Mus musculus: one gene and its partners. The protein of the gene in region 3 purifies or fractionates together with the protein of the main gene of each other region. This does not show direct contact. Links are inferred from orthologs where the notes say so. Each region holds a gene or a part of one and is shown on either strand. Other genes may lie near its edges.

Region 1 (3,562 bases), on a different chromosome or scaffold from region 3:
AAGAGAAGTAAAGTGGCTGACTCTTGGTCTCTGTGTGCTGGAGGAGGCAGGCAATAGAGCCACTCAAAGGAGTGCCTACGGTCATTTCCACAGAAGCCAGCAGGTGGAGACAGTTCACTGTAGACCTGGATCCCCAACTTCCCAGCAGGCCATCTCCACCCTAGTCTCCCATCCCTGGATTCTGTCTCACCATCTTGTCCAGTGGGTGTCCCATCTGCTAGTTGTCCTGTTCCCTGGGCATGGAGAAAGGCTCCAATTTTGGCAGACCAGGCTGCCTTGTGCAGGACTTTGGCTTTCTTGGTGGGTGGCTTTCCCTGCAGGGCAAAAAAAAAAAAAAAAACGAACTGTCGACTATGAACTTGAATCTGTTTCTATTTTGCTTTGTTATTTCTTTTGAGATACGGTGGCCTAAATTTGCAGCTATTGTGCTCAGCCTCCTGAGTGCTAGGGTCCCAGGCATAAGCCACCATGCCAAGTAAGGAACTCCTGAGGGTGAGCTCCTGGTGCAGCTATCTAACCTCTGGGCTTGAGTTTCCTCTGTAAACATAATGATGAATGAGAACACTCAGGAGACACCTGCAGAAGGCTGGGGTCAGCAGAGCTGCAGCTGACAGACACATGTCACTCAGGCCTCTGAGCTCTCCCTAACATCTCACTGCAGTCACTGCCCTCCCTCCATGCTCCCGGCTCATGGAGAGCTAAGCTGAGTGACTGAGGGAGAGCCGGAGACAACATCCTGTACGTGTAAATGCTCTGGAGAGAACATACAGAGGGCCTCTCCTGGGCATCTCAGGGAACACTCACGTCCACACCTATAAGACAACTAAGCTCCAATGATAAAGGCCAAGGCCAGGAGTCAAGGCAACACACCAGCCAAGTGGAGGCACAGCTGCGTAAAGTCTGACCTTAAGGAAGTGAGTCTCAACCCCTTTGATTGAATATGCGACCCTTTCAAAGAGGTCATATATCGGATATCCTGTGAATCAGATACTTACATTATGATTCAAAACAGTAGTAAGATTACAGTTATGAAATGAAGTAGCAGTGAAAATAATTTTACGGCTGGGGCCACCACAGCCTGAGGAACTAACTGTATTAAAGGGTCACAGCATTAGGAAACTCGAGAACCACTGCCTTAAAAGACACCAAAAGCTTTGGCCTTTTAAAACAGGAATTGCTGGGCGTGGGAGGGCACACCTTTAACCCAGCAGTGAGGAGGCACAGGTAGCCAGCTCTTTGTGAGTCTGAGACCAGTCTGGTCAGCCAGAGTCACACAGTGAAACCTTGTCTCAAAAATAATGTAAGGGGCCTAGTAAGACGGCTACTGCTTAGAGCACTGGCTGCTCTTCCAGCCGATCCAAGCTCAGTTCCTAGCACCCACATGGTGGCTTACAACTGCCTCCAACTTGACAGGGGACTTGACACCCTCTATTGGTCTTCTCAGACACTGTACGCATGTAGTGCATAGGCATTTATTCAGGCAAAACACTCATACACACAAAAATGAATAAAACATAAATAAATAAATATGGGCCACTCTTTGAGGGAGGGTCTCATGTACCTCAGATGACCTCTAGGAATAAGTCCCCCAAGCTGGCTAAGCCGTTCACCTCCAGTCACATGATGGCTCCAGCCCAGCATCCAGGCCCCAGGATGGGTGTCAGGGGCTCTTCTCACCTGTAGTCTAGCCAGGATACTGGCTTTCTTGGAGTTGGAGGAGTAGCTCCTGGAACACGAGACGCTGCAGAACCTCTTGGTCTTTGAGAAGAAAGCTTCTCTTGTGCCCACGATACCACACATCTCACAGACAGCTAGGAAGAGAACTCAGCATGTGACTCCCTGACATAACTGCTTTAAGTCAAGCAAAACCTTCCAGAGCACTGCATCAACCATGTGAGTGTCAGGCTCTGAGGCTGACAGAGAGGAGGGCGTGAGCAGTGGATGGAGTTCTCTTCCAAGAGCAAGTCTCAGTATGTGCTGCCCTCAAACTTGCAGGCTCAACTGACCCTCCACCATCAGCCTCGCCAGCAGCAGAACTCCAAGTGTCTGCCCCTCCACCTAGGCACCTCCGTAGGCTCTGTACCTAGAGCTGAGGCTAAGGGACTGGAGATCCACATGAACGAGTTTTAGAGAGAGGAGCGTGACCAGAGGGCAGGTGTGCTGTCTGACCTCACACTAGATCACCTGAGGAGCCTTCTGTATACTGCTGAGGCTGGAGACTGCCATGCCCTGGGCTCCAGGGACACAGCCATCTGAAGGGCTTCCCAGATGGGCTTTCCAGCTCCCCAGATGACGCTAATCTACAGCCCGGGTTATAAACCAGCCCCTGGGGTCAGATGCTCTCCCTAATGATTCCTGCTAGTCTTGACGCTCTCAGATTCTGAGAGAAGGGTGAGAAGAAGACAGAGGAAGAAAGAGGAAAAAGAGGAAAAGGACACGAAAAGGAGAAGTCAACATGGGTGGAAGGAAAGCTGGCCACACGGCCCGGCCCAAGAGTGCCGGTGTGAAGGGATGGGAGGGGGTGGGACAGTCCTAAGATTGGAGCCTGCCTCTTCTCAAGGACACACGGCCCACACTCTGGCCGCCCTCACACAGGGTCTAGCAGCCATCCAAGTGCTACCTCTTTGAAGTCAGCTGGCTTCCAGATGATTCAGGGCCACGCCCTTCTGCCCACCTCCGTGCCTCCCTCTCTGTGCCTCCCTCTGACCTGAAGACCACTTTATCCTGTACACCTCCTACCCCACACTTGTCAGCCCACAAGCTATTTCCTGTTCCTCTGTTCAAAAGCACTCACACCACTGAGTCTCACTGTCTTCATACCCAGACTCAGGGACTGCCCAGCCTAGTCATACAAATGTAATAGAATTTAACAAGTGCCAAATAAACTCAAGAGGCTTTGGAGAATAAGACTTTAAAACTAGACTGCAGAGAGGAAACGACCCTCAAGGACAGTGCCTTAGACATCTGGCTGTCTCCACCCACATCCTCAATTCTTCCACAGCCTCCTCCTGCCTCCTCTCCATCTCAGGCCACTGGGAAAGCACCTGGCTCAGAACCACTTCCATCCAAGGAGCGGTTGTTCGCAGAGCTGAACAGATGGAGAGGTGAGGTGGGCAGCTCCCCTGCTTCCCGGTCCTCGTTCTCTGCTTCACTTGACTCCTCCAAGTAGGAGCTGCTCTCGCTGCCCGCACTGCTGTTGTAACTCCGGAAGCTGTCGTAGCCCCCAAAGAGATCCAAGTCATCTTCCTCCTCCTCTTCCATTGGCTCTGAAGATGGCGCCTCCTAGTGGGAAAACGACAAGAACGAGAAGTTACAAACTGGCTAATCCATCCAGCATGAGTTGGGGATTTGAATGTTGGTCCTCTGAAAGAGCAGCAAGAACTCTTAACTGAGCTGGGGGTGGGGGGCTGGCACGCCCCTTTAATCCCAGCAGTGAGGAGGCAGAGGCAGGTGGATCTCTGTGAGTTTGAGGCCAGCCTGGTCTAGGACAGCCAAGGCTACACAAAGAAATCATGGCATGAAAAACCAATATACGGGGCTGGTGAGATGGCTCAGTGGGTAA
Region 2 (4,327 bases), on a different chromosome or scaffold from region 3:
CATTTCCTAAGACTTGTACTAGCAGTAGCTGGTCTTAAAAAGTCACTTAAATAGTAGTGTGAGAGGCCTATGTGTTTATCCAACAAAATGGCATTACCAAGTGAGAGATACTAGCGTGGCCTTCAACATTCCTTGGACTTTCGCAGCAGTAACAGCAATTATCTCCAACTTTCCAAGATTAGTTATCAAGCATGTTCCTTGTTTTTAACTTTTACATTTCTGGGTCATGTCAGTGTTGGAAAGTGCTCAAAATATATACATAAGCAGCACTGCTAAAAATTACATAACATTAAATGTATTGTCTCAGAAGGTCTCACTAATGACACTTTAATTAACGGGTATGCTCAGTAATGCCCCTTGTTTTTAAAACCACTACCAGGTGCTAACAAAACTAGAACTAGGGTAGGAGTTAGAGACCGTCTTCCATCCCAGCATTAACTCGCTCACTACAGGGCTAAGGCCATGAGTAAGAACAGTAGCTCTTGGCCATCTTCCTTTCTAATACTGTATGATCCAGGGGACACATCTGATTGTTAGCATATCTCCTGCCTCCTAATACAAAACTTCTCTGTATTTGAAAGAAAGCTAAGAAACGAGGAAAACTAAAGTTTTAAGTAATGTTAAAAAGTTTAAAGATCTAGCTGGGCGGTGGTGGTGCACGCCTTTGATCCCAGCACTCCAGCACTTGGGAGGCAGAGGCAGGCAGATTTCTGAGTTCGAGGCCAGCCTGGACTACAAAGTGAGTTCCAGGACAGCCAGGGCTATACAGAGAAACCCTGTCTCAGAAAAAAAAAAAAGAAAAAAAAAAAAATTCAAAGATCTAAAGGTGTAATATTCCTTCATGTGATTATATTAATGGCACATACAAGGCACCAGCTCTTTTGGAATTCACACTTCAGTATTACTTGAAATACAATGCATGATGCAAACACAATATAAAGTACTTAAAACTTTTTACAGCCATATTTTCAACAGCAACATACAAACTGCATTAGTACCAGTCAAGCACTCAGGTTTCACCAGTTTAAAGGTCTACACTGAATTATAACTTCAATATAGAATCTCCATTTCTTTCTTACCAAACCTACTGGAAATAAGGTACAGCTGTATAGCTGACACCTAGTTCCCTAGATACTTACACATGGCCCTGAAGCAGGTTTTCTTGATCTGGGGAACTTTAGTTGTTTAGGTTCTGAAACACTTTCCTTCGTGGGGCCAAAATTAACTAAACTACAACACGATTAAGGCAAATCCAACACATCTCCCAGATGCAGTAAACTTGGCATCAGTCAGGACTGGCCACAACACGTGATGGTGTTTGGATACTTCTGTGGAAATTAACTTGTGCACACAACAGGACCAACATCATTTCAGGGCCACAAGCCGTGGGCATCCCCTCGTTGAGTTTTATCACATAAAATTTGAAAGCTAATACGAAAGTTTTATAACAACTACATTTAAGTCAGTATTATTTTAACAGTTGAAGAGAACTTTTCCACTAATGTCGCTAAACCATGGATGGATCCCAACACGAGAGTCGTCTGTGGAAGTCTCGCAACAAGAAACCACCTAAGTTTCCAATCACGGGGAAGGGTCTGGGACAACTCATCTTCATGTTCTCGGGAGGAGTGGACGGAGCACACACCTGCTTTCCTCTGGCAGAGATTAAGCTCCCAGGGACACAAAGGCCAGGGAATCAGACCTGGAGAGGCAAAAAGCTTTAGCTAGATACCCACCAAGCCCCGTGGCCACCCAAACACTTCGAGTGTTTTTTTTTCTTTTTTTTTCTTTTTTTTTTACCTCTTGGAGTTACTTCTCAGGCACTTAGCGGCACAAGATGTTGCAGACCAGTGGGAAGAAGGGGAAGGCTATGCGCTCTGGTCCCAAAGTCAGGGGAGGGGTGTGGACAGTTACCTCCAGGGCCGGGGCTACAGGCCCGGACAGAGTAGCCTAGCCGCGCACGGGGCGCCGCCTGACTGCTCTCGGACCGCCCCCGTTACTCGGGGAGTTACAATGGCGACCGCAGGGCTCCCCGGACCTCCGGGTCTCGGCCCCCTTCCCCCTACCGCTCACTGGCTGCTCCGCTACATGTGACTAAACAAAACCCCCCGAGTCCAGAGCCCGGCTCGGCCCCTTTGTGTCCGCCACCGGATCCGCCGCCGCCGCAGCGGAAAGGCACCCCCCGCCCCGCGCGCCCGCCTCCGAGTCCCGCCCCGCGGCGGCCGCCGCCGCTCACCTAAGGTTCCGCGGCCCCCCGCGACCGCCGCCTCCCGGACCCCGCGGCCCGGGCTCCTTGTGCAGCAGCAACTCCGCCTCCTCGGCAGCAGCCGCCATCTTAGCCTGTGCGGCAAAACGCGTCCTTTCCGAGGGTTGGGAGCCAGCCTAGGGCGTAGCTCCCCGGGCCCGAGCGCCGCGGGCCGGGTCCCCCCACAACTTCTTCCGCCACCCTCAGTCCCGCCACCGCCTCAGCCCGGACGTCCGAAACGCGGCCGGGGCCGGGGCTAATCCGACCGAATAAGACCCCCGAAACTCACAGTTTGGTGCCGTGTGCGTCAAACCGGGGCGACGTTGGGAGCGCGCGGCGTCCCCGCGTCACACGCCGCTCTGTACGCTACTCGGCTCCAACGGCCCCCTCCGCTCCCCGCTTCTCGCCTCCGGCCTCGGTTCCCACGGCGCAGGCGCGCGGCTTTCCCGCCTCTGCCTGGCCGCCGGCCGCCGGGGGAAGCCAGCGAGGCGCGCCCGTGCTCTCGGGCCGCCGGAGCTCCCGTGCCAATCAGACCCACGGGGGGCGGCAGCAACGCTGCACCGCTGCTCTCCCGTGCCAAAACCAAACAAGGTCACCTCCCCCAGCGGTGACCTAACCACTCCGGAGGAGGTTCCCGCCCCAAAGTAGGCACGCTCCAAATATGGTGGCGACCAAACTCTGCAAGACCCAAGTACCAGGAATGCCTAGGCCCTTTAAGGTGGAATAGGCCCATCTCTGGTGTCTGCAATCGCTAGTTTGCCAAAAACCTGTTCCCTTTTCCAGCTGTTGAAAGAACCAGCAACATATATCAGGCCTACCTTGGAGAACTGGCACAGACAGGTTTTATGATGTTAAACAGGCCAGGTGGCAAAAGCATCAGGTATAGAAATTCAGTTACCCAGACAAGACACCCAAAAAGAAGGCCCGGATTTGGGTTCCTTGGACTCTGCAAGGGCAGATTCTGCACTAAGGAACATGCCTTGATTGTCCAAATTGGAGTCATGCAAAGAGACGTCAGAAATGCTGGTTAACTCTTCAGGTAATCAATAGATTCCCCAGAGGGTCTTCTAAATCTCCCTTTTAACAAGCATTCAGCCATGGGCTTCTGAGGGAAGCAGCGCACTAATTAGAGGTATTCGCTTTGCTTTTGAACCGAGTCAACAAGTTCCTAACCTGTTGAAGGTGAGCTAAACGTTCTAGAATACTCTGATGGGCCTGCCTTACTAAATTCTTTGGTTTCGCTGAACTTTTTCTCATGAAAAACTTTAAAACGTTTTTTAGTAGTTAAGCAGTAATCATGAACTATGCACCTCCAAGCCTTCGAGATATTATTAACATTCACAGGAATACACCATAATTACATTTATTTGTCAAGAATGGGAGTATCTTTCCTGAAAAACGGTGCCTTCAGAAGCAGCAAATGTATCCCAAAGAACGAACATTTCACTATCCACTCTAATTATTTCGCTTGCTAGTAACTGCTGACAACTAGAGTTCATGCTGTGTGTGTGTCAGGCATTCTTGTCACCTGTTCAAGTTCATTACAACCTAAAGTGGCAAAGAGAGATTAGACTGTTGAGCTGTTTCAAAATGAAAGCTTTCCTTCATATATACGAATAGATAGATACACAACAAATAAATCTGTGTCCATTTTCAGCCAACTGCTTGGAGGAGATGCACTTTAGAGACTTATTCTCATCTCATGAGTTTGGGTTTTGCTTGAATGTATGGCTGTGCACCGCATGCTTCATGCCTGGTACCACAGAGTCCAAATGAGCCTCAGGAAGGACCTGAAACTGGAGCTGCAAATGACAGGCCATCATGTGGAAATATCACAAGGGACCTGATCCTGAGTCCCCAGCAAGCACATAAGGTACTCTTGGCCAGTGAGCCATGTCTCCTGACCCACCAGGTCTGTTAACCTGCAGAACTCAAAGGCCTATCACCTGGAACCAAGCCTTGCATACTTCAGGGCACATTTCAGATATATAAAATATATCGATGTATGGGATCTCCAGATACTTTGTGTGTGTGTGTGTGTGTATTCAGATTATATAAAGTGTTGAATAAATGAGTTTCCAT
Region 3 (4,131 bases):
AGATGCTACTTAAAAATTTTTTAAAGGAATCACAAAAATAACCCCCTATCAAATGCCTAGTCCCTCTAACCATCACCAAGTGAAGGATCACGCAGGAAAAAAAAAATCACCAGCAGCACCTCAGAACCAGGATACTCAGTCCATCAGCATCCAGGGCCATACCCACACTCACAGCATCTCCACAGTTTACCAGATGATTCATGCTTATCACTGTATTGGGTCATCTAAGAGTGACCATCAGGGCTTCTGATCACAGAATCTAGTCCACTTTGCAGACCAGTTGAAGTCATGCACTATATGAGATAGAAATACCCTCTTGCTCATTTTGGTCAGAAATTCAAGGATAAAAACCCATGTTTTGTTAATGCACACCTCCATATGATTGAGATCAATGTGTCCTAATTAATGTAGAAACCACAACTGTAAATTTCACTCTTTTGACATGAATCTTTTTCTAGACAGGGTCTTGGATGCAGCCCCGACTACCCAGAATTTTGGAATCCAGGCTAGCCTCAAACTCAAGGCAATCTGCTTGCTTCAGCTTCTCACAGGCTGGATCACAAACATACACCTTCAGACCCATTTTTTTTTCCTCCCTCCGTTTTTGGTTTCTCTGTGTAGCCCTGGGTGTCCGTGGACTCGCTGTGTAGATCTATCTACCAGCCTCTGTCTTGGAGTACTGGGATTAAAGTTGTGGGCTACCACTGCCTGGCTGACCCAGTTTTATTTATTTTAAATATAACTTGACAAAAATAAATTTGTCTAACTTACTAGAAATCCCAAGAAAACTAACACTGGATTTAGCAACAGTCAGAAATCGCTGAAAAGAAACAGAATTGATCTAACAGTCTTAGATCACTCCTAGACAGTTTGTAATTCTTGCTCATGGCAACGTGAGCTCTATCTAACTCACTCTCTGTGCACTAATGAATGCTCAGTGTCTCCAGAACAGCACAGCTTCCAGGGTAATCATGCCAACCCACAAGACTTTTATAGAGCTGTCCACGACTCTTCCCCCATTCAGCTCATTAACAATATGATGGAGCTCCTGTGTGGAAATCAAGGCACACTCTGGTAGAAACTTGTTTTTTCTTTCCACTTTTCCTTGGGCTCTGAAGATTGAGCTGTTTTATAACCCACAAACATGCATTTTTTACCTCAAAAGCATCCAGCAAAAACTGTACAACGCTTTTTCAAAAAAATGTATTGTGATCCTCCTTAAGAAAAGCCTTACTTAGTGTTAATTCCTTTTTCTTTAGAATGCTGGTAAATACAAGGACTTAGGTAGGCTGGCTTCTAACAGCAATTCACCCACTTATGATGGGATTAAAGGAAGGCACAACCATGTCCACCACAGGTTCTAGCTCCCCCACCCACACGCCCAGAGAGGGTTTTTCTGTGTAGCTCTGACTATTCTGGAATTCACACTGCAGACCAGGCTGGTCTCGAACTCAGAGATCCACCACCACATGGTTTCTTAATTGTAATTTTAAAGAAAAAAAAAAATCCTTCAGTTAAGATTCTTATGTTCTAGGTTTTCACAAACTTACCAATGTAGTTTTATTGGAGGCCATTTTTTAAATTTAATCGGAGACTTGAAGAGCTATTGCAAGAAAAAAAATGTAGGACAGTTAAAATTTCATGACACACAAAAGGCAGCTACAAGTTTTGTGTGGATTTCAACATGTAAATTTCGGGTAAAAATGCAGGAAAACAGTTGAGTTCCCGTGTTATTAGTATGTTACTAATAATTTCAGTATGTTAGTGAAAATAATCTTACTAAAACACTGGTACCTCAGACAACTTTACATGGTGAGGATTGTTACTTTCCCAATCCATATAGAATTTTAACAATTTTAGTGTTTATTTTGGATGAAAGGAAATGACTATCTTTTGTTAGCAAATTACCATAAGATCTTTTTCTTTAGATTTCTGAATACTCCAAGGAGCTCATATAATTCCATCCTTATTTTTTCAGAGGCCCTCCCTGTTCAATCACGGTATAAAAAAAGGAACACATTAAGATGTCCCAGTCCTATTTTCTGGCTTTTTTTTTCCGGGGGTGGTGGTGCGGTAATCACTCTCTATAGTCCAGTCTGGGCTTCAACGCCTGGCAATCCCCAGCCTCAAGCTCCCAAGTACTGTCCTGATAAGGATAGAAGGAGTCGACCTCCTTCACGCTCCCCTCCGAGGAGGGCTCCTTCCCAGCTCCATTCCCCGGTCGGGAGCCCGTCCCCCACCCGAGAGCGCGGGCCTCGTGGTCAGCGCCTCCGCGGGGAGAAACAAAGGCGGCGGCGGGGGCTCAAGGGCACTGCGCCACGGGCCCGCGCCTCCCCCATCCGGCGGCGGCCACGTAGCCGGGAGCGCGCCGCAGCCCGGAGCCTCGGGCCTCGCAGCTGCAGAGCCTGAACCGCTCTCTCCCTGCGGGCCTGCGACGAGGCTGGGGGAGGGGAGGCCCGCGCTTTGTCTGGAGTCTCGGTAGCTGTCATCCGGCTCCCACCCTCATGCACAATTGTCCCATCTCCCCCACGCACCGGCGCGGCGCCCGCCTCAGCGAGGCCCCAGCCGGTTTCCCGCAGCCCGCGGCCCACGGGGCTCGCAGCCTCCCCGCAAGCTCGGACGCACGGAGCATCCTAAACCCCACCACACGCAAGATCGAAAAAAAGCAAAGGCACGAACTTCACCGCTCCGATGCTCAGGGCCGCGGATCCTGCAGAGTCTCCCGCCTGCGCGCTTCGGTTCAGCCACATCCGAGGGGAGGGGGCGCGGGCAGCTCCGCCGGGGGGGAGGGGGAGCACCGCCCACGCCCTGGCCGCGCGGGGCCCGCCGGGAACGCGTCCTGCGGGGGGCGGCGCGCGCAATGCTCACCGTCCGCGGCGTGGCGCCCAGGGGGTCTCCTGGCTGGGGGGAGGGGGGGGAAGGCGGGCAGGAAGGACCGCGGAGGCCTCTCTGCGTCTCGGAGCGCGCCAAAGCGGGGCTCCACCCACCTCCTTGCCCGGATCTTGAAGGCCGGGGAGATAAACAGCGGGGTTCTTTAAGCACCACCTCTCACTAGGCGCGGGATCCCAAGGCTTGTGGCATCCGGGGTGGTACTTGGACTAAAAGTCCTTCTGGGAGGGACCGAGTGAGAACCCCTTTGGGACGTGTAGAAATATTTGTGTGGTTCGAGAATATTTGTGCGGACGGGCTTGGCAAAGGCGTAGCTGCAGAGAGCACGCTTGGGTGGAGAGGGCCGCACGCCCCAGCGCCGGCCTAAGCCCCTCCCGACGGCGTTATTTCAAACTGCGCGACCGTTTCTCCGCTCCCTACGCGGAGGTGGGGGCCGGACCTAGTTCCGGACGTAGTAACACGCCGAGCGCGAGCCTTCCGCAATTCACGGAACACAGTTGCGCAAGTGATGTAAAGCAGTCCCGCTGTACCTAAAGGGGGAGTGTCACGTACTTGGCGTAAGGAGAGTGTAGGCCCTTCCCGCCATTGGCGGCGGTTAGGGCGTTTACGTAACGGCGTGACGTAAGCGGAGACGCGTTAGTGGGGGGAAGGTTCTAGAAAAGCGGCGGTCTCGGCTCCAGCGGCAGTAGCAGCGGCGCCGGTCCCGTGTGCAGGAGCTCCTTTGCGGCCCAGTTTCTTGGCCATCGCCTGCTCTCCCCACAGCGCCAGGACGAGTCCCGTGCGCGTCCGTCCGCGGAGGTCTTTCTCATCTCGCTCGGCTGCGGGAAATCGGGCTGAAGCGACTGAGTCCGCGATGGAGGTAACGGGTTTGAAATCAATGAGTTATTAAAAATGGCATGGCGAGGCCGTAGGCACCGCAATGGAAACCGGCCACCCGCCTCCGTGGTCCGGCGGAGGGGATGCGGCCACTCGAGTGGCGGTTGGCCTTGGCGAGTTTCTGAGGGGTCGTTGGAGGAGGCCTCTGATTGTCCGACCGCCTTCCCCGCCCTCAGCCGCCCGGCGCCATTTCCCTCAGTTGGGGTGGGGGATGGGAAGTGCCCGCCGCGACCGGGCTGGACCGCTAAAGTAGCGCGTGAGCGGGCCATCGCTGGCCTTTCGATGTGCGCGGGCCTAGGGGCTCGGTTGTGTTCGCGGCGGAACGTTTCTGGGGCCCCCCCGGCTTCCCGGAGCGAGTCTGCGAAG
Region 4 (4,232 bases), on a different chromosome or scaffold from region 3:
AGCATTTCCTAAGGAGATCCTTTCATTGCTTTGGTATCACGCCCGTGTAAGGATAGTTCTGATAACTATGTCCTTTATTACTTTATCGTTTATATAATTACATCACTCCCTTTCCCATCCTCCCCAAACCCTCCCATAGTCCACTCCTTGCTCTTCCAAACTCATAGCACTTTTCATAAACTGTTGTATGTATATATATTCCTAAATACAACGTGATCGGTTTGCATGTTGCCTTATGTATGTTTTCAGGACTGACCACTTGTTATGAATAACCAATCAGTATGCTCTTCCCTGAGGAGAACTATGTCTCCCACCCCCTCAGTAGCCTGTGGAGGCCTTACCTCCCCAGCCCCGCACCAATCCACTTTAGCATGTCCAGTGTTGTCCTTGCTCAGTTCATGTTTAGGTAGTCAGGAAGAAACGTAAAGGACTGGGGACATGGCTCAGTGTTTAAGTTCATGTACTGACTGCCCTTGGAGAGAACCCAAGTCTGGTTCCCAGCAGCAATGATTGTTGGCTAACAGCCATTATTTCCAGGGGACCCAGCCTGGCCTTCTCCCCTCTCCAAGCACCTGCACTCATGCGCACATACCAATACACAGGCACACATATACATTTTTTTTAAATGACCAGATAATCCCTTTAAGACACAAAACATTTTTGTTCCTATACAATCTGGGTTTTGCTTTAGTTTTTGTTTGTTTGTTGTTTTAGGTTTTTGTTTGTTGTTCTGGGTTTTTGTTTGGTTGGTTTTTGGTTTTTCCAGACAGCACTGGTGACCCTAGAACTCACTCTGCAGACCAGGCTGGCCTCAAACTCCGGGATCCACCTGCCTCTGCCTCCTGAGTGCTGGGATTAAAGGCATGTGCCACCATGCCCAGCAAGATCTGATTTTTAAAATGGTCAATCTCCAGTGGCAACACAGCAAGGGTCACAGCACAGGTCCTGGGGCTTTTTCGTGGATGAAACCAACTCAAGCACTTTATAGTTGAGTAAACCTAGCCAACCACTGAATCTCTCTGGGCCTCAGTTGCCTGCATCTGTGAAACAATGCAAGGAATTTACTTCATGAGCAGTTGTCGAGATGACAACACTGGAAAAGCACTACACGTATCATCAGGAGTTTAGAATAATGTAAATCAAAAACTCAGCGAGATGCCCCAACTACTAGGACTTTCTTTTAGCAACTTCCAAACACTGTAATCCAGAAAGTCTGCTTCAACCCACAGGAAAACCCCTTTCTAGCCACCTGACCTTCATCAATCTGCTTTCTCTAAATAGCAGGTCAGCAAGGATTTGGGTGCAGTATGGAAAAGCTAAGCCCTACCTTTCAACCACCAATGGAGCAACAGTACACTGAAAACCTGATTTCAAATGAAAACGGTATCGGCAAATCCCAAGCTAAAAACTGTATTAACTGTTATCCCCTCAGGCCAATGACCCAGACCTCTCTTCCTCCCATTTCTCAACGAGATGCCTAAAATAGCCTGAAATGACTTCATTTCCTGCCTATCCTAAGTACAAATTTGTGCTTAAGGACCTTTACCTAAGGACCACTGTGTCAACGCTTTTTTTCTGAGCAGGGCCTCCATCTACCCAAGACATCGCTATGTGGCCAATATCACCACCACCTGTGATAGCCCTAGGCAATACGCCTAACTATCAACCAGAGCTTAACATCGCACTTTCCATAACTTCTTACACATGCTGTCCCCTATTTCCACAGCAGACTGGACCAGTCCAAGCCCCGAACTAGCAAAACACTTCAGGTAAAGGTTCTGTCGGTACTAATGTACACTAATGTACCAGGTTGGTTACTTCTTCGGGAGTGATCGCTCTTCCTAATCGCATTAACTTTAAGCACCACACTCACACGAGTTTTGGTTCAAAGTCAAGCATACTTAAAAATTTATATCTTGTTTTACAACACTACACCAACTCAAACCTTTGTAGAAATTGTGCGAATAGAACCTATTTTGATCCCTCTAAAATGGCAGATGCAAAGTTAAATTTCACGTTCAGCATCTGCGCATCGGTCACGATCGCCGCAGTATCAGGGATGAAGAGGCAGGGGTTTGCCCTCGGCAGTGCTTGAAACCAAGCCTCTCCTTCGGAAGAAAACTCGGCGCTTCAGAAGCGGCCACAAGCTTGCCCTGCATCCCGCCATCCTCCACAACGGGATGATCTTCAGGCTTCAGCTTCATTCCCGGGACGCCGCAGAGGGGCGCCCTGCCCGCGACCGCAGAGCCTCCCCGCGCCTCCCGGTAGTGTCCGCTCCCACCCTCCCTCGGCTCCCAACCACTCTCTCTCGCCACGCCCGGCGTCCCGTCCCTGCCCCGCCCCCTCTCCCCATCCATCCCCGCTCTGTTCCCCGTGCCCGGACTCCACGGGTCCCCCTTCCCTGCTCCGTCCTCCCCTCCGTCCTCCCCGTCCCCTGTCCCCGCCCTTCCCCCCCCCCCAGAACGGCCCCACTCCCACGTGACCCGCGAGCGGGCGCGGAGGGGACCCGAGCCGCGCACTAGAAGGTCCGGGATTCCGAAGGCGCGGAGGTAGCGACGGCGCGACAGGCCACAGTGGGGACAGCGCAGCGGACAGCGCTAGGGACGTCGGGGCGGACCCAGGAGTGGACGGCGGGTGGGTCGCGGGGAGGGTCGGGGGGTCGGCGCAGGCCTGGCGGGCGTACCTACCGCGGGGCGCGAGGAGCGCCGCGTCCCGCCGCCGTCGCAACACCGCCGCGTCCTCCGCCTACGCGGCGGGACCCCCGCCCCGCGCCCGTCCCTCCTCCCGCGCGCCAGAAAGAGAAGATGGCGCTCAGCTGCCTCAGGAAGTGACGTCGCCTCATTTGCATGCCGACGAGGCCAGCCAATGGGTGTAGAGTGTGCCTGGGGACCCCCTGGGCTCTTTTCCCGGGCCCCTCAGGGCCCCTGGAGCCCCCAGGCCTCGAGGCTGTGGAGGGGGTGGGGCCTACCGCAGCCCCCTCCCCTGGACCCCCTGGGTCTAGAGCCTTCGCCCCCTCTGGGCAAGCTCTCGAGAGAGAGTTTAAGGAGGTGGTGACGTCATTGAAGGGGTGGGGCGAGGCCGTCATCGACCACATGACCAATCACATGAGTCCACCAGAGCTCTGACTTCTTTTGCATGGAATGGGGGTGGAGCCAGTGGAAGCCAAGTGGGTGGCCCCGCCCATACCTACAAGCCAATAAGAAGCCAGCCCTGAGGATACTGGCTTGCTATTGGAGGATAGGACTTAAACTCTAGGAACTTGGACCAGTGTGCCTATGATTGACAGATCTTGGTGAGCCAACCGGATAGGATCTCCTGAGTCATCATTCTTGTTAAGAAAATTTGTGTCACACCTTTTGAGAATTTTTGAGAATTAAAGTTACATCCATACCACCCTGTGAGAGAAGAGAGCTAATTGCATGTATTTGCATAATGGTAGAATGTTTCTCAAGTTGGATTGTACATGGAAAAGGAGCTTTCAAATTGTTTTCTGAGTCTTCAACCATGGAGAGGCCAACCCCACCCCACCCCTACAGAAAGCCTGTCTGCTCTAGATGCAGCAAGAGGCTCAGCAGGGACTTTTGGAGAAGACAAATAGAAATACTCTAAAATGTGTTGCAGTCCTTTTAACAGGCCTGTCTTCTATCCCCGCCCCTTATGGATCCCAGACATTTCCCAGTCTGACAACCACTGCCCTCATCAACCCTGTTTCCACAGAAGGTCCATAAAACCAAACCAAGACTTGGGCTCCATCAACTGCCATCACCATGTCTAGGTTCTATCCAGGCTGATGGTGTGCACCGTGTTTGCTCTACCCTATCTGAAACCTTATCCTCCTGCCTCAACGTCACCATTTTCTAGTCTGTCTTTTGTTCAGTTTGGTCCAGTTACTAGAAATAATAGACACTCAGTAAGTGACCATATCAGTTTTAAGTGTGTCCAATGTTGAGCTGGTGATACTGACCACAACCTTTTATTTCCTACATGAAGACAAGTCATAACTGAAATAGAGCTGGCCTGTCCTATTTAGTCATAAGTTGTAGCTTAATTTGATTGTGAAATTACAGCAGCAAGTGAGCGTGCTGTTCCTACCCATCTCCCTGGAGAAATCGTGGGTGAGATGAAAAGTTAGCTACAGCCTTATGTCTCATCTCACTTCTTCCCATTTCTCAAAGTCTCTGTCCTTTCTTCTCACCTGCCCTTGACTCCTCAACTTCAGGCATTGCCTCCTC
Region 5 (3,562 bases), on a different chromosome or scaffold from region 3:
GGAGAAGAGATTCTCAGCTCCTATTCTAATGCTGTGTTTGTATTTTTGAACTCTACTTAATGTCCTAGGAAGAGGTGTTAAGCAGCATTCTTACATCTGAAGGCTTTCCTAGAAAAGTTTGGTTCTGAAGATAAGGTCTCTAACCTTGGCTGTACTAGAACTTAGAGATCCACTTGTCTCTGCCTCCCTTGCACTGAGATTAAAGGTGTGCACTACCATACCATCTGAGGAGCTTGAAGGGGACACAGGCAACCAAAACTACTTTTGGTTCCAAATAGTTCATGAAAAACTAGAGAAAAGATGATGGTTTATCATGTATATATTTACCTGTTCTTGGTCAGTTCTGAAAGCTGATCTCTATTATCATTGTGCAGTAGTGCACAGTGGCTTCTAAACACTTTGCCCTCTGTCTATAAGGCAGTCATAGTTAACTTCTTAGCTGGATTAAAACAGCTGCAACTTCAAAGGCCATTTACTGGTTGGTTGGTTGGTTGGTTGGTTGGTCGATTTTTTTTTTTTTTTTTTTTTTTTTTGAGATACTTTCTCTATGTAGTCCTGGCTACCCAGAGAAAAGATGTGCACCACCATGCCTGGCTTTTAATTGGCAGTTTGGGGGAGGGAGGGGGAGATGTATAATGAATGTTTTACTTGAGTGGGTGTTTGTGCTCTGTGCATGCTTGGTGCCCTCTGAGGTCAGAAGAAAGCACAAGATGCCCTGGAACTGCACTGTGGATAGTCATAAGCTGCCTTGCAGTTGCTGGGAACCAAACCCAGATCCTCTTTAAATACAACCAGTGCTCAACTACTGAGCCATCTCTCCAGCCTTCATTGACCTTTTGTGAAACTGTTTTGCCAGAGAAGAAACAGAAAGAGACCAATGTTCCCCCCGGAACCTTTTGATCCACAGCGAAGTCTAAATAAATACTGCTGTTAGAGTGAGGAAGAAACTTCTTTTGAGATTTTCTTTTTTCTATGCAAATTGTTGGGTGATGAGAAAGAGAGCTGTTTGCCTTCCGTGTTGGTCATCAAGGTCTGCGTGCATTGCAACAGTGTCACCTGTGAGTTCCTGTGTCTGAAGCCGAGAAGATCCACAAAATGAGGCTTTTCCATAGTTGGTTTGTGTTTTTAACAAGAAAATGGAGAGGCTTTTTGTTTGTTTTTGTTTTTGTTTTTTTGCCTCTGACTTCTCTCTGAAACCAGCCAACAAGTACAACTAGCAATTTTTAAAGATTTAGCAAGAACTTGCACTGAGTTTTCATTTACAGGAGCACAAATAAAAATATTTGATTCAAAAATGCATCTGAGTTCTTTTAATTTTTCCTGCAGGAGAAACCTCTAAAAGTCATTGCCTTGCAGAGTTTCTGGGAATGCCTGGGGGAGGAGCCTGGAACTTGTAACTGCTTGCCTTGAGTGGCCTTCTCACTCTGGTTTCTGTTCTGTTTTGTTTCGTTTGTTTTTTAGGACTATCGGACAAAACCTTTTTGCTGCAGTGCTTGTCCGTTTTCCTCAAAATTCTTCTCTGCCTACAAAAGTCATTTCCGGAATGTCCATAGTGAAGACTTTGAAAATAGGATTCTCCTTAACTGCCCTTACTGTACCTTCAATGCAGATAAAAAGACTTTGGAAACACACATTAAAATATTTCATGCTCCAAACTCCAGCGCACCAAGTAGCAGCCTCAGCACTTTCAAAGATAAAAACAAAAACGATGGCCTTAAACCTAAGCAGGCTGACAATGTAGAGCAAGCCGTGTATTACTGCAAGAAGTGCACTTACCGAGACCCTCTCTACGAGATCGTCAGGAAGCACATCTACAGGGAACATTTTCAACACGTGGCAGCACCCTACATAGCAAAAGCAGGAGAAAAATCACTCAATGGTGCAGTCTCCCTGGGCACAAATGCCCGAGAGGAGTGTAACATCCACTGCAAGCGATGCCTTTTCATGCCCAAGTCCTATGAAGCTTTGGTACAGCATGTCATTGAGGACCATGAACGGATAGGCTATCAGGTCACTGCCATGATCGGACACACAAATGTTGTAGTTCCCCGAGCCAAGCCCTTGATGCTGATAGCTCCCAAACCTCAAGACAAAAAGGGCATGGGACTCCCACCACGAATCAGCTCCCTTGCTTCTGGAAATGTCCGGTCGTTGCCATCACAGCAGATGGTAAACCGATTGTCAATACCAAAGCCCAACTTAAATTCAACGGGAGTCAACATGATGTCCAATGTTCACCTGCAGCAAAACAACTATGGAGTCAAATCTGTGGGCCAGAGCTATGGTGTTGGCCAGTCAGTGAGGCTGGGACTAGGTGGCAATGCTCCAGTTTCCATCCCTCAACAGTCTCAGTCCGTGAAACAGTTACTTCCAAGTGGGAATGGGAGGTCTTTTGGGCTAGGTGCTGAGCAGAGGCCCCCAGCAGCAGCCAGGTACTCCCTGCAGACTGCCAACACCTCTCTACCCCCAGGCCAAGTGAAGTCTCCCTCTGTGTCTCAGTCACAGGCATCTAGAGTATTAGGTCAGTCCAGTTCTAAACCTCCACCAGCCGCCACAGGCCCTCCTCCAAGCAACCACTGTGCCACTCAGAAGTGGAAAATCTGTACAATCTGTAACGAGCTTTTCCCTGAGAATGTCTATAGCGTTCACTTCGAAAAGGAGCATAAAGCTGAGAAAGTCCCAGCCGTAGCTAACTACATTATGAAAATACACAATTTTACTAGCAAATGCCTCTACTGTAATCGCTATTTGCCTACAGATACCCTACTCAACCATATGTTAATTCATGGTCTGTCTTGTCCGTATTGCCGTTCCACCTTCAATGATGTAGAGAAGATGGCAGCACACATGCGAATGGTTCATATTGATGAAGAGATGGGGCCTAAAACGGATTCTACTTTGAGCTTTGATTTGACATTGCAACAGGGCAGTCACACCAACATTCATCTCCTGGTGACCACATACAACCTGAGGGATGCCCCGGCTGAATCAGTTGCTTACCATGCCCAAAATAATGCCCCAGTTCCTCCAAAGCCACAACCAAAAGTTCAGGAAAAAGCAGATGTCCCGGTTAAAAGTTCACCTCAAGCTGCAGTGCCCTATAAAAAAGATGTTGGGAAGACCCTTTGCCCTCTTTGCTTTTCAATACTAAAAGGACCCATATCTGATGCACTTGCACATCATTTACGAGAAAGACACCAAGTTATTCAGACAGTTCATCCGGTTGAGAAAAAGCTAACTTACAAATGTATCCATTGCCTTGGTGTGTATACTAGCAACATGACAGCCTCAACCATCACTCTGCATCTAGTCCACTGCAGGGGTGTTGGAAAAACCCAGAATGGCCAGGACAAGACAAACGCACCTTCTCGGCTCAATCAGTCTCCAGGCCTGGCCCCTGTGAAGCGCACGTATGAGCAGATGGAGTTTCCACTGCTAAAAAAGCGGAAGCTGGAGGAGGATGCTGATTCCCCTAGCTGCTTTGAAGAGAAGCCAGAAGAGCCTGTTGTTTTAGCTTTAGACCCCAAGGGTCATGAAGATGATTCTTATGAGGCTAGGAAAA
Region 6 (4,040 bases), on a different chromosome or scaffold from region 3:
TGGAGGATGGGATAGGAGGTTTCCAGGGGGAAAATAGGGAAAAGGTTTAACATTTGAAATGTAAATACATAAAATAACCAATTTTTAAAAAAAGGAAAAAAAAAGAAAATCTAAAAAAAAAAAAAAGATAAGTCAGGGAAGCATTTCATGATAACTACTGATGCCCAAATTACTTTAAGCTGATATTTAGTGAAATGGATTTAGAAAAATAATTGATGGGCCACATTGAAGTTTGTGTAGCACGTAACTCTGTCCTCCTGCTGTGCAGTATAGGGTTTCTCATGTCTTGTTGACACTAGAGATATGAATACGTCTGTAAATCTGTAATAATTGCACTTTGCGAAATCCTGGCTCTTTCTAACTCTTCTGGTATATGTGCGTGTTACTGTGGACTGTGTACGTGTGCATACACATATGTAGGCTAGAGGTCAACAGCAGGCATCTCCCTTGATTGTGATCCATTTTCTTTTTAATTCTTATTACATTTATTGGGTGTGTGTATGTGTGTATGCAGACACATATGTAGGTCAAAGGTCAATGGTAAGCATCATCCTTGATTGATCTCATTGTATTTTTTTTAATATTAAATTTATTTGGGGTATGTGTGTATACACCTACCAAAGTGCAGGTGTGAACAGAGGACAGCTTACAGGAATGGGTTCTGTCCTCTAAGAGCAAGCTTGGGGCTCCTGTCTCCCTCCTCCAGCACTTTGTCGCTGGGTGTGGCTCTTACATGGGTGCTGACAATAATTTGTCCTGACCTAATCCCAGTCCACTTCGGGACATGGGTGGCCATTGGAGTTTGAGACGTCTCCTTCAAGGAAGATGGAGAAAGGGCTGCCTGGCTAACAATGTGATGGGGACAGTTTGAGGGAATAGCAGGCTGCCTGACAAGGGTTGTGCTTCTATGAACTCAGACGGCTGCAGGGCACAGATGGATGCTACTATTGACTGAGTGTGAATGAAGAAGCGAGTGATGGAAACGGACATCTGATGGCGGCGACCGACTTATTATTTATTTCAATCAGGTGACTGGCTGAGCACCTATATATATGGCTCTAGGTCCACCCTGGCAGTGAATGCCTGCGCGAGGTTAAAATAAATGACTGGCAGAATTGGGGTTGCACAAAACAAGCCCTTTATGACTGGCTGACGCCGCGATTGGCTAGCAATATGACTGACAAGGGGCGGGTCCTGGAGCAAAGGCAAGCTTTGCTACTGCGCAGGCGCACTCTGAATAAAGGCAGCGAGCACGGGCTCTCGAGACCACTCCTGGTGACGGGAGGAGTCCAGGCACAGCTCCGCGGTTGGTCCGAGCCGGAGCTGCGAGCGGCGAGGAGCGGCCAATCGACTGCGCGTCCCCGGCCACGCCCGCGCGCGCTCTCTTCTCGCGAGGCCGGTTAGGCCCGAATGTTGTTAGCTGTGGAGAAAGATGGCGGAAAATTTAAAAGGTGAAGCTGTGGTGCTAGAGACGCGAGCTACTGGCCCGGCCGAGTAGAATGGAGGGAAGGTGGCCGGGGCTCCAGGCCAGGCGTCCGGAGCTACGGAGCCTGGAGCTGGAAGGCCGGCGCGGCAAACGTGGGGGCCGAGAGCGCGGGCCCGGCGCGCGGGCAGGGCGGGGCTGAGGGGAGGGGGCGCGTGCTTCGGCCGCGGGGGGCGCGGGGCTGCGCAGGCCGCGCGCGGGGTTTCTCGGCCGCGCGCGGCTGGCCGGCGCGCCTACGCGCGTGAGAGAGAGTCCTGAAGGAGAAGGTTGCGGCCACGCGCGGGAAAAGGCGGCTCTCAGTGACCGTTACCCTTTCGGTTTCCACGGGAGACGCCGGAAGGGGAGGAAGAAGTGGAACGGACCCCCTTCTCAAAATGGGGGAGCCGGCGACTCTAGGTGGGAAAGGGATCGAGGCGAGATGGGGGCAGGGTTTTCGGGTAGACGAGTCTCCCCGGAAAGCGGGACTTGGTGGGGGGGCCTCGGTGAGAGGAGGGCTCGGCTCCTCCATGTGCAGGAAAAGAGGGGTGACTTGTGCGTGCTGGGCGGGCTCCTCGGCCTCGAGTAGAGCGCTGAGAAGAGATTCCACAAGTGTGAGCCGGAGCTGCGGTGGGGAGGAGTGCGGCTGCTGGCACTGCAAATGGTATTTGCAGGCCACTTCTTGGGGCTTTCAAAGGCGTTCCAGACGCAGGTTAGAGGCTCCGGGAACCGAGAGGCCTCGGAGGAGAGGGATTAGTCTCTGCTGGGCCTTGGATAAAAAAGGATCAGTGTATATGTACGCAGTGATCTTTTTTTCTTTTGAAGTGTTTGTGTGTTCTTAGGTTACCATCTAGAGCATCTTATTAGGATTGTTTTAGATTTGAGTCGTATGATGGGAGGAGAAAAAAACCATCCTTAAAAGATGGCATTGGCTACTGACAGCATACACCTAGCATCAAGTGGTTTTGTGACATATTTTGATTTTTTAAAAATGGCTTCTAAAATTACGTTGAAGAAGGGATGTGCTCTGAAGCAAAAAAATGTGTATACTTTAAATCCGCTTCTCTTGAACAATAATTTTGGTGACCAAGAGTCATTGTCGGGGCTTACCTACCACATGTATTGTTTACATGTTCCTGAATTGAGAGCAGATCCCTTCGAATTGAGTTGTACTTTTCACCCCCGAGACAGGGATTTTTTTTTTCCTTGAGACAGACTACGGCTGTCCTAGAACTCAGAGATCAGCTTGTCTCTGCCTTTCCTGGGTCTAAAGGTATGCACCACTATGCCCAGTTTAATGTAATATCTTTCTACAATCTTTATAATTACAAAACCTAAAGTCCTTTGAAATAAAAGTCTTTCTTAAATGTGTCACTAATCATGGCAAGGGATTTTTAAAAGTGAAATTATTCAGTGAGAATATTTAATGTGAAAAATCAAGGCTTTTGCTATAGATGTGTTTGCTGTTAATGTGTTTTGAGTATAGATGGCTTAATGTCCTATGCCAGGAATTCGCCTAAAATTACTTGTGTAAAATTCCCAAATGTTTGAATTCCAAAATCCAGTGGCCCAGGAGTTTCAGATAAGTGAAGACTTTATAGCAACACCTCTGTTTGTTGCCCTAGGGATTTTTGTCCTACCCTGACTCTCTTAGTTAACGCACCCCAGTCTTTTGCAAAGTGCAAAGAGCATTGCTTAAGGCTCTGACCGAAGGTAAGTCTGCAGGCAGCTTAAGGCCTTGGATGTTCTGCCAGTGGATCCCTTTATGGACGGGCCCATTGCTACAAGCGCCACTTCATCCTTGCCATTCCAGAGTTAGGGGGCCAGAGTTTGGAGTAGAAGATTCTCCCAGATGAGGGCATAGGTCCTCTGATAGGAGAACTGGACCCTTCCATGTGCAGGGAAAGACAGGTTGATGCTTCCTGGTGTGTAGGCTTATTTCCAGGTGTTGCCCTGAGAATTGAGCATTAGGGTTCAAGGAATTGGCACTTCCTGTTGCAGAGGATCTTAGCTTTGGGTAAGGCCCGTCGATTACATTTTTGTGAGTCTTTGGCCTTCTCATTCTAGGTTGCAGTGTGTGCTGTAAATCTTCTTGGAATCAACTGCAGGACCTGTGCCGACTAGCCAAGCTTTCTTGTCCTGCCCTTGGTGTTTCTAAGAAGAATCTGTATGACTTTGAAGTTGAATACCTGTGTGATTATAAGAAGATCCGTGTAAGTCTGGTGTGAGTGTGTGTGTAGAGAGAGAGAGAGAGAGAGAGAGAGAGAAAGACAGATACTACACTGGCAGGGGACCCTCTTCTCCACCAACCCCACATCTGTTTGCAAAGAGGATTTTTCTCCTCTGATTCTTCCTGGGGGGAAATAGAATGAATTGACCCTCTTATTTCCATTTTACAGGGAGGGAAATAAAGTGGCTTTCTCAGAGAACAAGAGGCAGAATGAATCCTCCAATGCATGTTTGTTTCCACCTAGAAATACAAAACTAGTTACCAAGTTGATACTTTGTGCCTAAGAGTGGAAGTAAAAGATGGCAACAGGTAGAGTGCCCAACCATAAACAGTTACTGATGCCACAGAAGT
Region 7 (3,562 bases), on a different chromosome or scaffold from region 3:
CTGCCTGTTGAGTGACATTTATAATCTGTTAGTCAGTACACTTGTCAGCACTGCCTGTGGCTTGTCTGCATAGAGATAATACTTATCTTCTCACTAGACAGTAAGTAAGCTTATGGGTAAAGAAGCTGTGACTAATATATTTTGTTTCCCCACACTGTGCCTTGTATATAACTCTTACCAGATAATGGTTGACTATGAATGATGTCTTGAGCAGATCACTTTGAGGGCACTATGAGAAGAAAGCCTGGAAAGTGTAATATTCCCAAAGACGGTAGAAGTTCAGGCCTTGTACACCTCACTCCATCTGTCCTAAGGTCTGTAAGTTGGTCATTAGGATTTTTAGTATGGTAAATTGAGATTTGCTAGTTTGAAGACTGGTGTGTTCTTTGCCTTCCCGTCACTTTTTTCTGGTTGTTTTGGAGCACTAGGCTGAGAAGCAGAATTGTCAGTAATGATCCTTTTGAGGGCAAAGCTTTTGAGTGCTCAGACTCTGGAAGGAGCACTAGACTCTGGGCTACTGTGCTGCCCTGCCTTGAGCTTATATGTGTAGCAGTTGATGTGTAGAGCTGGTGCCCTGCCTCTACCTCTGGCCATGTATGTAGCCTGTTAGAAATCTTCCAACAAGTGTGATGGATGCTAGGAGCATAGTAAACACTAACCTGTTGCTGCTTTGTTGACTTATTTATTAACGTGGTTCCCTGATGAGCCAGGCCCACACAGCCTGCTATAGTTGTAGAGGTGTGGCTATTTCCTGGGATGTCTCAATTACTTATCCTTCCGGTGTTGACATCAAGTACTTACAGCTTTCATGCTAATCTCTTTAGACAGGAGGCAAAAATGGTGATACAACAGCAGTGTTGTTCACTTGAGCCTCCTTACCAATAGTCTAAGGGTTTGGTGAGGTCTTAAGACCATGATGGAAAAAAATGTACCCACTTTCATTCCAAGCCAGGTCTACTCCAGCCCTTGGTCTTGTCATCCTGAACAGCCTGTCCTAGCAGAGTCTTTGTGGCCTGAGCTTTTCTTTCATTATTTCAGATGCAGTTGAACTGTGTCTAGTATTTACAAATCCCTGGGTTTAATCCAGAGCACCATATACAACTGGGAGTAGTTATCCCGACACTTGAAAGCTGGAGTGGCATACTCAGCCACAGAGTGAGTTCAAGACCAGCCTGTCTCAGGCATCGGCAAGCTGAAGACTTTAAAAAGCCAGAGGGTTTAGAGTGTATGTAGCTCGTGGCTGTAATCCCAATACTTGGGAGACCTGCTTGCCTGGCCTTAAAACCCCGTTTCAAATAAATAAAAGCTATAAGAAAAAAATCCAGAGAGGGGCTGAGAGGAGTACAAGTTGAAGAGTCATACAGACTCCAAGCCCAGGCCATCCACAGACTAGCTGGTGGTTTTAAATAATTGAGTGTGGCTCTCTGAGACCTGGGTTCCTGGTAGAGCTCCTGAGACTCCATGTAGGTAAGTTCTGTGAGTTGCTTGACACTTTGGGATAAAGACCATAGCTAGCCTTTACTTTTTTACTCAGCCTTTTCCATCATGGCCACCCACCTGTTTCCTTTCTTTCCCTCATGCTGTTGCCAAAGAAGGGCATGGTTCTCCTACTATGCAGACTTGGTCTTTATTTTGTTCTGTGTTTTTTTTTGTTGTTGTTTTTTTTCTCATATTGCATCAGGCATCCCGGGCCCAAATCCTAGACAAAGCAACAGAGTATATCCAGTATATGCGAAGGAAAAACCATACGCACCAGCAAGACATTGATGACCTCAAGCGGCAGAATGCTCTTCTGGAGCAACAAGGTGAGCAACCAAGCTCATGGGGCAACTGGCCCTGCTGTGCCCCGCCAGGCGGGGGCTTCCACACCTGGGCTTCCGTCAAAGCTAGAGGACTATGCCTCAGAAGCAAGCTCAGCCTGGCTCTGCAGGCCTTGCAGTTGAGTGTTAGAGCCTCCAGTGAGGAGACGGAGGAGCTAGGGATTGGACATCCGAAGGCTTGTATCTTTTCTGGCCTGACCTCTCCCTTTCTCGGGGCTCAGGTTCTCTGCCTACAGTAAGGGTCACACCTGGTGTCAGGTATCTGAACAGAGCTTTGAGGTCCTTGCTGTAGAATGTGCCATGTAAGTACCAGATTCTCCAGGAGTTCAGGGACAGTGAGCCCTCCCCATTGTCAATAGTAGTCCAATCAGGGCAGCCTATGGGCCAGGCCCCTGCTGTTCTCCAATGCTCACACCCGCCTTTTCCTACAACCACAGGGGAAAGCGAGAGCTGATCAAGTTCTTTGTTCCTGGGGAATTCACTTCTCTTCCTCCCTCATGGAAGATGCAAGTAAAAGGAAATGCAAGTAACCGCCTGGGTTAGAACATCTCACATAAAATAACATGAAGGGTGACCCTCCAGGCTCGAGCCGAGCTCAACCAAGGGATGGGCAGTGGGCGGCGGCAGCGGGTTGGATGATGGGCCAAGCAGCCTGCATGTAGGGGTGTCTGTTGAAAGGCCCAGGTATTTTGTGTGTATTGGTGACTTGCTTCCAAGTGTCCAGCTTGTCATTCCAAGTGGATTTTGTTCATGAGAGCCAACCAAAAGTTTTCTTTGACCCAATCTATTGTGTCATCCTTTCCTGCTATCATTGGGCCTTCACACCGTCATGGAGCCTAGCTTTGCTAGGCTAGCTTCTTCTCTGTCATTGCATTGCTCAGTCCAACAGGGAACTCTTGCTCTGGTCTCTATGCTGGGTCCATGGCAGGACGGTGTCTCATCACAAGCCTTCTCTTCAGGGTGGTATGGCTGTGGCTGGCCATGTCTGCTGGGCCCCCAAGCCCATCTGGGAAAGGAAAAGGGGGACGGAAGTGTGCAGGTGGAGCAGCCACCGGAAGGGAATGACTTCTGAGCCACCCTGTGCCTTGGGGTCCAGCAAGCAAACCCTTAGGAAGAACAGGCTGGACCCTGAGTCTGAGACTTGGTTGCTCCGGATCTCCAGAAGGTGGTAACATGCTCCCTTGGTTGCCTTTTAGTCCGTGCACTGGAGAAGGCAAGATCAAGTGCCCAACTGCAGACCAACTACCCCTCCTCAGACAACAGCCTCTACACCAACGCCAAGGGCGGCACCATCTCTGCCTTCGATGGGGGTTCAGACTCCAGCTCAGAATCCGAGCCTGAAGAGCCCCAGAGCAGGAAGAAACTCCGGATGGAGGCCAGCTAAGCCATGCGGGGCAGGCCAGCAATAAAACTGTCGACTCTCTCGTCGCATCCTCCTTCTGTTCATCATTAGAACCCTCAGAACCATTGAGAAGACTCTTTATTTTCCTTTTCTCTTTATTAATTGTTATTTTTGCATAGAAGCTCTTGGACAACAGCTCTCATCCCCTTCCCTGTGTCCACTATTTTTAAATGTATTCCCTTCAGGGGTTCCTGTCCCCACCAGAAATTTTAAACCAAAACACCCCAACTTGGCAGCTCTTTCTGTGGAGGACAGACGGCCGGCCAGACCTCTGAGTACACGGTGTCCTGCCCACCCTACCAGCTCCTCCAGCCCTCAGAGCACGTGCCTGGAGGACGCC

The links.
Region 1: the proteins of Cbx3 (region 3) and L3mbtl2 purify together in Homo sapiens (affinity purification with mass spectrometry; 5 studies listed by BioGRID and IntAct, with this or other methods). This does not show direct contact. The link is inferred for Mus musculus from reciprocal best matches to the Homo sapiens genes CBX3 and L3MBTL2.
Region 2: the proteins of Cbx3 (region 3) and Zfp644 purify together in Homo sapiens (affinity purification with mass spectrometry; 3 studies listed by BioGRID and IntAct, with this or other methods). This does not show direct contact. The link is inferred for Mus musculus from reciprocal best matches to the Homo sapiens genes CBX3 and ZNF644.
Region 4: the proteins of Cbx3 (region 3) and Adnp2 purify together in Homo sapiens (affinity purification with mass spectrometry; 3 studies listed by BioGRID and IntAct, with this or other methods). This does not show direct contact. The link is inferred for Mus musculus from reciprocal best matches to the Homo sapiens genes CBX3 and ADNP2.
Region 5: the proteins of Cbx3 (region 3) and Adnp purify together in Homo sapiens (affinity purification with mass spectrometry; 7 studies listed by BioGRID and IntAct, with this or other methods). This does not show direct contact. The link is inferred for Mus musculus from reciprocal best matches to the Homo sapiens genes CBX3 and ADNP.
Region 6: the proteins of Cbx3 (region 3) and Suv39h1 purify together in Homo sapiens (affinity purification with mass spectrometry; 3 studies listed by BioGRID and IntAct, with this or other methods). This does not show direct contact. The link is inferred for Mus musculus from reciprocal best matches to the Homo sapiens genes CBX3 and SUV39H1.
Region 7: the proteins of Cbx3 (region 3) and Max purify together in Homo sapiens (affinity purification with mass spectrometry; 3 studies listed by BioGRID and IntAct, with this or other methods). This does not show direct contact. The link is inferred for Mus musculus from reciprocal best matches to the Homo sapiens genes CBX3 and MAX.

The regions. Positions count from the first base shown.
Region 1 is NC_000081.6:81,666,879-81,670,440, reverse strand, and holds part of L3mbtl2 (lethal(3)malignant brain tumor-like protein 2), read right to left. Parts: intron 3,283-3,562; coding exon 3,045-3,282; intron 1,812-3,044; coding exon 1,678-1,811; intron 315-1,677; coding exon 191-314; intron 1-190. UniProt on the Homo sapiens protein: Putative Polycomb group (PcG) protein. PcG proteins maintain the transcriptionally repressive state of genes, probably via a modification of chromatin, rendering it heritably changed in its expressibility.
Region 2 is NC_000071.6:106,693,998-106,698,324, forward strand, and holds the start of Zfp644 (zinc finger protein 644), read right to left. Parts: upstream 2,834-4,327; 5' UTR 2,535-2,833; exon of another isoform or gene 2,237-2,534; intron 2,222-2,236; exon of another isoform or gene 1,801-2,221; intron 1,703-1,800; 5' UTR 1,646-1,702; exon of another isoform or gene 1,140-1,645; intron 1-1,139.
Region 3 is NC_000072.6:51,469,288-51,473,418, reverse strand, and holds the start of Cbx3 (chromobox protein homolog 3), read right to left. Parts: upstream 2,804-4,131; 5' UTR 2,680-2,803; intron 2,168-2,679; exon of another isoform or gene 1,909-2,167; intron 1,604-1,908; 5' UTR 1,575-1,603; coding exon 1,551-1,574; intron 1-1,550. Other genes in the region: Hnrnpa2b1 (heterogeneous nuclear ribonucleoproteins A2/B1), read left to right, coding at 3,743-3,748.
Region 4 is NC_000084.6:80,148,679-80,152,910, forward strand, and holds the start of Adnp2 (activity-dependent neuroprotector homeobox protein 2), read right to left. Parts: upstream 2,805-4,232; 5' UTR 2,688-2,804; exon of another isoform or gene 2,684-2,687; intron 1-2,683. UniProt on the Homo sapiens protein: May be involved in transcriptional regulation. May play a role in neuronal function; perhaps involved in protection of brain tissues from oxidative stress. May be involved in erythroid differentiation.
Region 5 is NC_000068.7:168,183,072-168,186,633, reverse strand, and holds part of Adnp (activity-dependent neuroprotector homeobox protein), read left to right. Parts: intron 1-1,461; coding exon 1,462-3,562.
Region 6 is NC_000086.7:8,071,955-8,075,994, reverse strand, and holds the start of Suv39h1 (histone-lysine N-methyltransferase SUV39H1), read left to right. Parts: upstream 1-1,234; 5' UTR 1,235-1,432; coding exon 1,433-1,451; exon of another isoform or gene 1,452-1,857; coding exon of another isoform or gene 1,858-1,879; intron 1,880-3,526; coding exon 3,527-3,672; intron 3,673-4,040. UniProt on the Homo sapiens protein: Histone methyltransferase that specifically trimethylates 'Lys-9' of histone H3 using monomethylated H3 'Lys-9' as substrate. Also weakly methylates histone H1 (in vitro).
Region 7 is NC_000078.6:76,938,210-76,941,771, reverse strand, and holds part of Max (protein max), read left to right. Parts: intron 1-1,681; coding exon 1,682-1,805; intron 1,806-2,257; coding exon of another isoform or gene 2,258-2,342; exon of another isoform or gene 2,343-2,603; intron 2,604-3,016; coding exon 3,017-3,204; 3' UTR 3,205-3,562. UniProt on the Homo sapiens protein: Transcription regulator. Forms a sequence-specific DNA-binding protein complex with MYC or MAD which recognizes the core sequence 5'-CAC[GA]TG-3'. The MYC:MAX complex is a transcriptional activator, whereas the MAD:MAX complex is a repressor.